Bombyx mori: one gene and its partner. The protein of the gene in region 2 binds, or shares a complex with, the protein of the main gene of each other region. Links are inferred from orthologs where the notes say so. Each region holds a gene or a part of one and is shown on either strand. Other genes may lie near its edges.

Evidence for each region.
Region 1: the proteins of ribonuclease H2 subunit B (region 2) and ribonuclease H2 subunit A are in contact, whole or in part, in a crystal structure (PDB 3PUF), measured with the Homo sapiens proteins. The link is inferred for Bombyx mori from reciprocal best matches to the Homo sapiens genes RNASEH2B and RNASEH2A. Residues at the interface, in NP_078846.2 of Homo sapiens: His16, Phe18, Lys39, Asn42, Gly48, Ala49, Ile50, Val63, Lys64, Val65, Phe66, Lys67, His70, Phe74, Val79, His86, Phe87, Val183, Tyr211, Gly214, Leu215, Asp218, Tyr219; in NP_006388.2 of Homo sapiens: Val227, Phe228, Ile253, Trp254, Glu255, Ser284, His285, Tyr287, Phe288, Arg291, Gly292, Leu293, Glu294, Ser295, Ala296, Thr297, Ser298, Leu299.

Annotation. Positions count from the first base shown.
Region 1 is NC_085129.1:8,832,865-8,836,795, forward strand, and holds the start of ribonuclease H2 subunit A, read right to left. Parts: upstream 2,485-3,931; 5' UTR 2,256-2,484; coding exon 2,111-2,255; intron 1,830-2,110; coding exon 1,600-1,829; intron 895-1,599; coding exon 751-894; intron 482-750; coding exon 334-481; intron 1-333. Other genes in the region: zinc finger protein 16, read left to right, coding at 3,388-3,931. UniProt on the Homo sapiens protein: Catalytic subunit of RNase HII, an endonuclease that specifically degrades the RNA of RNA:DNA hybrids. Participates in DNA replication, possibly by mediating the removal of lagging-strand Okazaki fragment RNA primers during DNA replication.
Region 2 is NC_085121.1:12,180,175-12,184,105, reverse strand, and holds the start of ribonuclease H2 subunit B, read left to right. Parts: upstream 1-1,517; 5' UTR 1,518-1,693; coding exon 1,694-1,787; intron 1,788-1,864; coding exon 1,865-2,074; intron 2,075-2,744; coding exon 2,745-2,869; intron 2,870-3,274; coding exon 3,275-3,449; intron 3,450-3,931. UniProt on the Homo sapiens protein: Non catalytic subunit of RNase H2, an endonuclease that specifically degrades the RNA of RNA:DNA hybrids. Participates in DNA replication, possibly by mediating the removal of lagging-strand Okazaki fragment RNA primers during DNA replication.

The DNA of each region.
Region 1 (3,931 bases), on a different chromosome or scaffold from region 2:
ATTCAAATTTAGAATGTGGACAGCTATGGTGCTCTGTAGGAGCATCGGTGGTCACATTCAGCTGCCTTCTATGACATTAAAAAAGATAGATAGGTGCTTCAGTGTTTCCTAGATTTCCTGATTCCTTCAAAAGTTACACCCACCCAAAGATTAATATTTTTTTGTTTATTGTTATATGGGTGACTGAGCTCATTTTGCTTGATCAAATTACTTGTTGCTAAAGATTTTCTAATACATGATGCTGTATATCCTCGTTTATTAACCCAATATCTAGTATTCAGAACTTTGGTAGTGTTTTGAAACATTTAGTAAAAAATAATGTGAAAAACTCACCTCCCGGATATCCACTGCCAAATTCTGTGTGATCCAATTGTAGTCCCTCATTAAAATGCCATACTTTTAGTGCATGATCTCTGGTTACTTTAGCCACAATACTTGCTGCTGATACTATGGGATAGATGGAGTCGGCCTTTTTCGCCACCTTGAAACATTAATTACAGTTTTTAATTCCAAACTCATATCAATATAAGTTCTCCTTTAATAATCGAGTTTATGTACAATACATATTTAAGTAATACAATATACTACTTAAAATACTATCCATTTTTCCTGGACAATTATTATTATGCTAAATATAAAAAAACAGAAATGAATGACATTTATATACCATATACCTTACAGTATAATTCACTCTTTAAAATAAGTTTTGCAATCATTTTTAGTTTTATTATGTGTAACAAATATACTTACAGTTATTTTGTAAGAAGGAAATATTTCAGATAATTTTGTTTGATATTTCTCTGGAGGCCCCACTGTGTCCACATAAACTTCTGTAATATTGACACCACTTTCTGCAGCTTTCTTAATTAAATCTATTGCAGAATTCATTGACACCTGTAACAGTAACATAAGTATTGCAATATTCTTATATTGAAGCAAGCAGAGCTTTTTGCCGTAAAGCAATAATGCACTGCAATTTAAAAGATGATAGCTATTATACTATAAAATTGGAACTTGGACCTCAAGATGATAGCATTGACTCTTTTAATAAGTGTGCCCTTACCCCCAGGCTACCTTGCTAAAATTTTATCTCATCCGATACACAAACACAGGTTGTTGAGTGACAGAGGACTTTAGAAGATTCAACTCTGACATGCACTGCCTTCAACACATAAGCAAAGGGTCGTCTAATAATTCCTACCCGAAACAAAAATGAATTGACAACTTTTCAACAGTAATGTGAAGCACATTAAATGATGTCCACCTCTTCAACATGTGCCAAATTCACGCAATAGTCTGGTAATTATTGATGACCGCTCACTAACAATGTATTACTTCTAATAAGTGGTTCTACTGTAATTTTGTGTCTCGCTTACATATTTTTAATATTTTTTAATATTTTATACTTTCACCAAATTCATAAAAAAGCATTCTTAGTTTTTTATTTAAAATTTAAATTAAATATGATTTTTTTAATTACACTTAAATATTATTATAAATTTTTTCCATGAGAGCCTCAATGAATTCAGGAGTTCACTCCACTAATATCCCCACCTTTAACAGTGAGTGTATATGAATCAAAGAGCAAACAAAACTTACTTCATTTAATGAACATTTGGCTCGTCTGTACATTGAATTGGAAATGTAATTAGGTGATATGACTTCAACAGCCCAGCCAACATTATTGAGGCTGTCTTCCTCAGTCAACATCTTTGTGAATATTTCATCCCTTTTAGCTTCCGTAAGAGCTTTAGAGTCAGCACAGCCCAATTCCTCCAAAATACTCTTTCGATTTAGAGGGCAGTAGGATACTCCATACACCATAGGTCCTAAAACAAAACACACTAGATTAACAGTAACAATCCTAATGCTATTTATTTGATGAATATTGTAAAATACATGTCATACATTTCTACAATCTTAACTGTACTAACTACACTTTATAAAAAACCTATGAAATTCACTATAATAAGATTGATACAAACCGTATAAACCTATGAGACCCTACTGTAAAATAACTGTAACTAGTACATTTTTTTAAATTATAATTATAATTATGGATAGATCTCAATATTAGATCTATTTTTTCACCACATTTTAAGTTTCTTACCGAGCACAGGACCACGGCCTGCTTCATCCACTCCGAGCATGCAAGGTTCATTTTTGCAGACAGCCGGTACTTCAGAATTTATGACAAATTTAGTGAAATTATCTTTGGATTTAATAATTGCCTGTAATTCTTGTAGTGAGTTCATATTATTGATTACGTCTCAGTTTTAATGTATACCTAAAAAATCTTATTTACTTTACTTTTACTTTACATACCCAATAAATGCCATTTGATTAATTAATAAATAACTTCTTGGATTACGTAGGTATTAATTTAAAGTAAACAATTTGTCTGTCAAAGTCAATTGTCACACATTGAATAGTGAAACTGAAGATCATTGAAAATTTTATTTTCTTATTTTTAATTATTTGTTCGTAGTTTGTTTGTTAATGTTCGAATGTAAAAAATTTCGTCTTTTATTTCTTTATAATTAATTAAATAAATGATCACCCTAAAGTTGGCTCCCTTTACTAGATATCTTTATTTTTATCGCTTAGATTAATTAAACTTGATCAATTATAGTTTGTTCGATGACTATTAGTGATTGTTCGATGTTCAAAACAATTAAATTCCCAATTATTAATTATTTTATCTCTAATAAGCAATCAATCACCTTACGACTACATTGCGCATGCGCCGGTATTGAAAACTTCAACAAACTTCAATAATACATCAACAAAAAAATTTCAGTGAAGACGGCCAATTATTCGTTAAAGTACGATTAGCGCGGTTTTAATAAATTCAGTTATTTTTAATGATATTGAATATTAACAAGCATATAGAAATTTAAGTGATTTCTAATTATTCTAAGAATATTTTAGGAGTACAACTTTCGTGTTAAAATGATACTTGATCAATAAAACTATGATCTTGATGAATAAAAACTGATTATCGTAATTGGAAGAACTTTGTAGAAAAAAATTGGGAATATCGTACAGCCACACTTGCTGGTCCTAATTATATATTATCAAAGGAGACTCATATCCAACAAATGCACTTTCCAGTTTCCTCTGTGATCTATGCCATTAAAATCCATAAATCTCGTTTGTGAAGTCTAATCTATGATGACCATAAATTCCGCAAAAAAAGATTAGTGCAAGTGCAAAGCATAATATTTTTAGATGTAGAAAACAAGGGCGTCATCCAAAAATAATAATAAATTGTTGGCCGTGCACATAAAAGGTAATATTTTAACATAATTTTAATTTATCGTATCAAAGGTTTAAATTTTATAATGGTTGAACACTGGTTTGTAGGTTAGATTAGTCCGATCTAATATGCAGAACAACCCCCAGGAGCTTTCATGGCAGGCGATTGAAGCAATAGTGGGGGTTAAACTTCCTTCGAATGTCCTGCGTTTCGATGATATCGGATTCCATTTGGAAAACAATAGAACAACAGTGTCGAGTGTTGAAGATTCCGATTCCGACGTAGAAATTGTCGAAAATGAATGGGAATCGGACAACAACGTATCATCACGGCCTGAGCAATCTGATAACGAGAAGGGTTCGCCTGAAAGAGATCAAAGCGTGTCGCCCGTTCTACATCTAGTAGAGCCTGATAACAACAATTCAGATAAAGATTCACTGGGTTACAAAGATTATATCGAGAAAATGGATACCAAAGATATCATAACCGATAGAGACCAAATCATACCATTAAATGGAGATGATCCAGATAGCTCCAATGGGAATGTTATGTCAATTGAAAACTACTTGGAAGTCACTCTATCAACCGATTCTGATGCTAGTCATGTGTGCAACCAGTGTAATCAAATGTTTTCCAATGAACAGTTGCTTGCTTCACACCAATGTAGTGCAA
Region 2 (3,931 bases):
AGAACGGATATGTGCAAAAAGTGAGAAAATTTAAGAAGTGAGAAAAACAAAAGTTAATGGAAGGTTGTATGAATAATGTAAGATTTGTATGTGTGATGTGAATTCAAATGTTGAATTTGTTGAAGTTGTGCGAGGTTATTTGTTATGAGTTATGTGGTTTGTGAGTGGAGTTGAAGGTGATTAAGGTTAAAGAAGTTAAGAGGGAGATTGACGTTAAATAAGTTGAGAAGGAGATAAAGGAGTTTAAAGGAGTTTAGAGGTAAAAGAGTCGAGTAGGAGTTTAAAGGTAAAAGTAGGAGCTTAAAGGTTATAGAGGTCGAGAAGGAGTTTTAAAGGTAATAGAGTCAAGAAGGAGTTAAAGGTTAAAGAGTCGAGAAGGAGTTAAAGGTTAAAGAGTCGAGAAGGAGTTAAAGGTTAAAGAATCGAGAAGGAGTTAAAGGTTAAAGAGTCGAGAAGGAGTTAAAGGTTAAAGAGTCGAGAAGGAGTTAAAGGGTTAAAGAGTCGAGAAGGCGTTTAAGGTTATTAAAGAGGTTGAGAAGGCGTTTAAGGTTATTAAAGAGGTTGAGAAGGCGTTTAAGGTTATTAAAGAGGTTGAGAAGGCGTTTAAGGTTATTAAAGAGGTTGAGAAGGCGTTTAAGGTTATTAAAGTAAAGAGGTTGAGAAGGCGTTTAAGGTTATTAAAGTAAAGAGGTTGAGAAGGCGTTTAAGGTTATTAAAGTAAAGAGGTTGAGAAGGCGTTAAAAGTTTTAAATAAACTTGAAGAGTTTATGTAGGAAGTCGAGAAGGAGTTAGACTATTATAGTTAAGGTTTTATATAGTGAGTCAAGAGGGAAGTTAAGGTTGAATGGTTGTATGGTTGAATGAAAGTACATTTTTGATCGAATTGGAGTTGGAGAAGTAAGAAAGGATTAAAGGTAGCGACATTAAAGATAGTATTAAGTTTGAAAGGTTGAATGAATAGTTGTTGGTTGAATTGAGAGGGATTATGTAGAAGTGGCGGAATGTAAGTGGTTGTGAGGTTTTTTAGGTATGTATGGAAAGAATTAATTTATGAAGGTCAGGTTAGCGTTATTTTTTTTTGGTATTAAATTATAGATGGAGAAAAATGTGTGCAAGTGTTGAGGGGGTGTGTTGGAGTTTGTATATTAAATGTAATGGCAGGCAACACTTGACACTTGATTAGATTTCGAATATTGGAATTATTTTAAATGTTTTAAAAAACAGATCATTGTATTCTCGTAAGAAAATGTCAGTTACTTCTCATCTAGACACGGCATGAAAAACATGTAATAGTTTTATAAAAAATATAAAGATAAAAATTGTATAATGGTGTAAAAGTGTTAAAGCTATCTGCAATATAATTATAATGAAGCAGTTGTGTTTTTAAATAGCCCCTCATCACCTACAGAACCCAATCCCTTCAAAAGATAACCGTCCAACAGTCTCAAATTAATCATCTTCATTTCATTTCACTCTATATTATAATTTTTCATAAAAATAAGAATATAAATTAAAATAAGACATGTCTAGACAGACGGTCTAGGCTACCAAGCCATAAAATTAAAAAAAGTAACAACAACAACATAACAGACATAACCTAAAATAATTTTTTTTTCACTAGATATTTTGTTTAAGTTGTAATGTAAAAAATTCAGTGGATACTAATTAAGATTTAACTAATTTATATAGAAAAATGACTAGATCACAAAATAAATTAAAAACAAAGGAACAGTTAAACACACCTATAGCTAAACGCGTGGAAAATACGTGGATTTTACTTGCAAAAGGTAATAAAAACGCTACGTATGTTAATTGTTTTTGTCATTTACGTTAATAAATTGTAATAATAGTCTTTATAATGCAGAGTCCTTATTGCAAAACAAGAATTTTCGATTTATCAATCTATCACATCCAGCGACTGGCAAAATAACAAAATATTGTTTGGAAGATGTCAGCAACAAAATATTTGAAGTCGTAACATATAACGAACCACATCGATCGTGGTTTATAGGAGAAACAGTAAAATCTGATCCTAGTATGCAAATTTTGACTCCGATAAATCCATTATTTTTAAGTAAGTATAGTATTTTTTTTAATTTGAACACATCTTAATCATTTTATACATTTTATTTCATATACAGATTATAAACCTTGAATAATGAAGTTAATGTCATATTTGAAACAATAGTTTTTCAATTATTCATTATTTGCTTTGATATAATATGTACTTATATGGCTGGGTGGTCGCAAACTCGTAGCCAATCTGGTTATAAGTGGTTTCTTTAGTTTATAGATATCACAAAGTAAATGATAGTGATCACCCTCTGATGTGGGATTGAAATCTCAATAGTATTATTCAGTCATTTACAGGATACCCTATAATTATGTTAAATAATAAATTTTATTATAAACTTAAGCACATTGATATGTGTTGGGTAACAAGTCAGTTCACCGTGTATCTGTTTTTATACAAACCGTACTTAGGAATCCTAATTATTAAAAGGAGAACAAGTACCCTCACGAATACACTACAGCCTGCAAACAGCACATCTGATGTTTTTGGCAGGTTTGATATTATTCCTTCCTCAATGAAAGATTATTTGTGAACACAAATTCCTTTTAAAAATTCAGTGAAATATTATTCACCAATTTCCAATAAATATAGTTTAACCAAGCAAAAAATTAAGTAATTCAGTACATTCGGAATGCAGACAATTTCTTTTTAATACCTTTACATCTTTCAGTACTTCCAAAAGTGAAGAGTCAATGCACTAGTAAAGCAGTACCTTTGGAGGATTTACTATCTGACAAGGGATATGATCAAATTGTGAATACTGTGAAAGATCTGGAAAAAATAGCTGACCGTAAGGTATATGAACAATCAAATATATTTTCCACATAAATACCTTAAAAATATAAAATAATTATATTTAAAAATATAAAATAATTATATTTTTTGTTCACATGATTTTGAATCTTAATCAATTTGATCATAATACCATTATATTGAATGTAGCAGAATCAACAGTAAACTCCCTTGCATGTTTACTCAACTTTTATTTGTTCTGATTCTGTTGCTTTTATGGATAGCAGAATTAAAATTAATTGTAGTGAAATAACTGTCATTAAATTGAAATACATGTCCAGTTCGCAGTAGCAATGAGTGAGTTGGTAGTACTTTATGGGTTCACATTACACATATAATAGAAACCATTATTATGATTATTAGCACTATTATAATTTTTTTCCACATCAAATTGAAAAAATTTTGTAGGGTCCAGTAGAGTTGAAAGCATACAAATATAATGAAGAAAAAACCTACAAATGGCTAGAGGACAGGATCCGGAATCTTGCTAAAGTACTGAAAGAAAAAAATCTGCATGTAACAGCTGGAGCCGTATCAGCGACATTTGTTTCTAGCAATTTAAACAATGTTGAAATTGAAGAAGGTACCAATACGACTAGTATACTCTACAAGTTAAAGAAGTTGATCTTTGTCATCTAAACTGCCGCGGAGACCGGCGCCGTAGGTCGTCAACTATCACCTCGACGACCCGTCGGTTGGACGTACTAGGAGTGGCGCCGCGAGTCTGGTTGTAGTGTTGACTGCGAGAATCCCCTTACTCTGACCGGGTTCTGACCTCGGGCGGGTATGAAGTCGTTGTGGCCTCAAGGATAAGATGTGAAGATGAGATTGACTTCCACGATGAAGGAATAAAAAAATTATATTACGCAAATTATAATTTGCGTAATTAATGGTGGTAGGACCTCTTGTGAGACCACACGGATAGGTACCAACACACTGCCTATTTCTGCCTTGAAGCAGGAATGCGTTCCGGTTTGATGGGTGGGGTAGCTGTTGTAACTATACTGGAGCCTTAGAACTTATATCTCAAGGTGGGTGGCGCATTTACGTTGTGGATGTCTATGG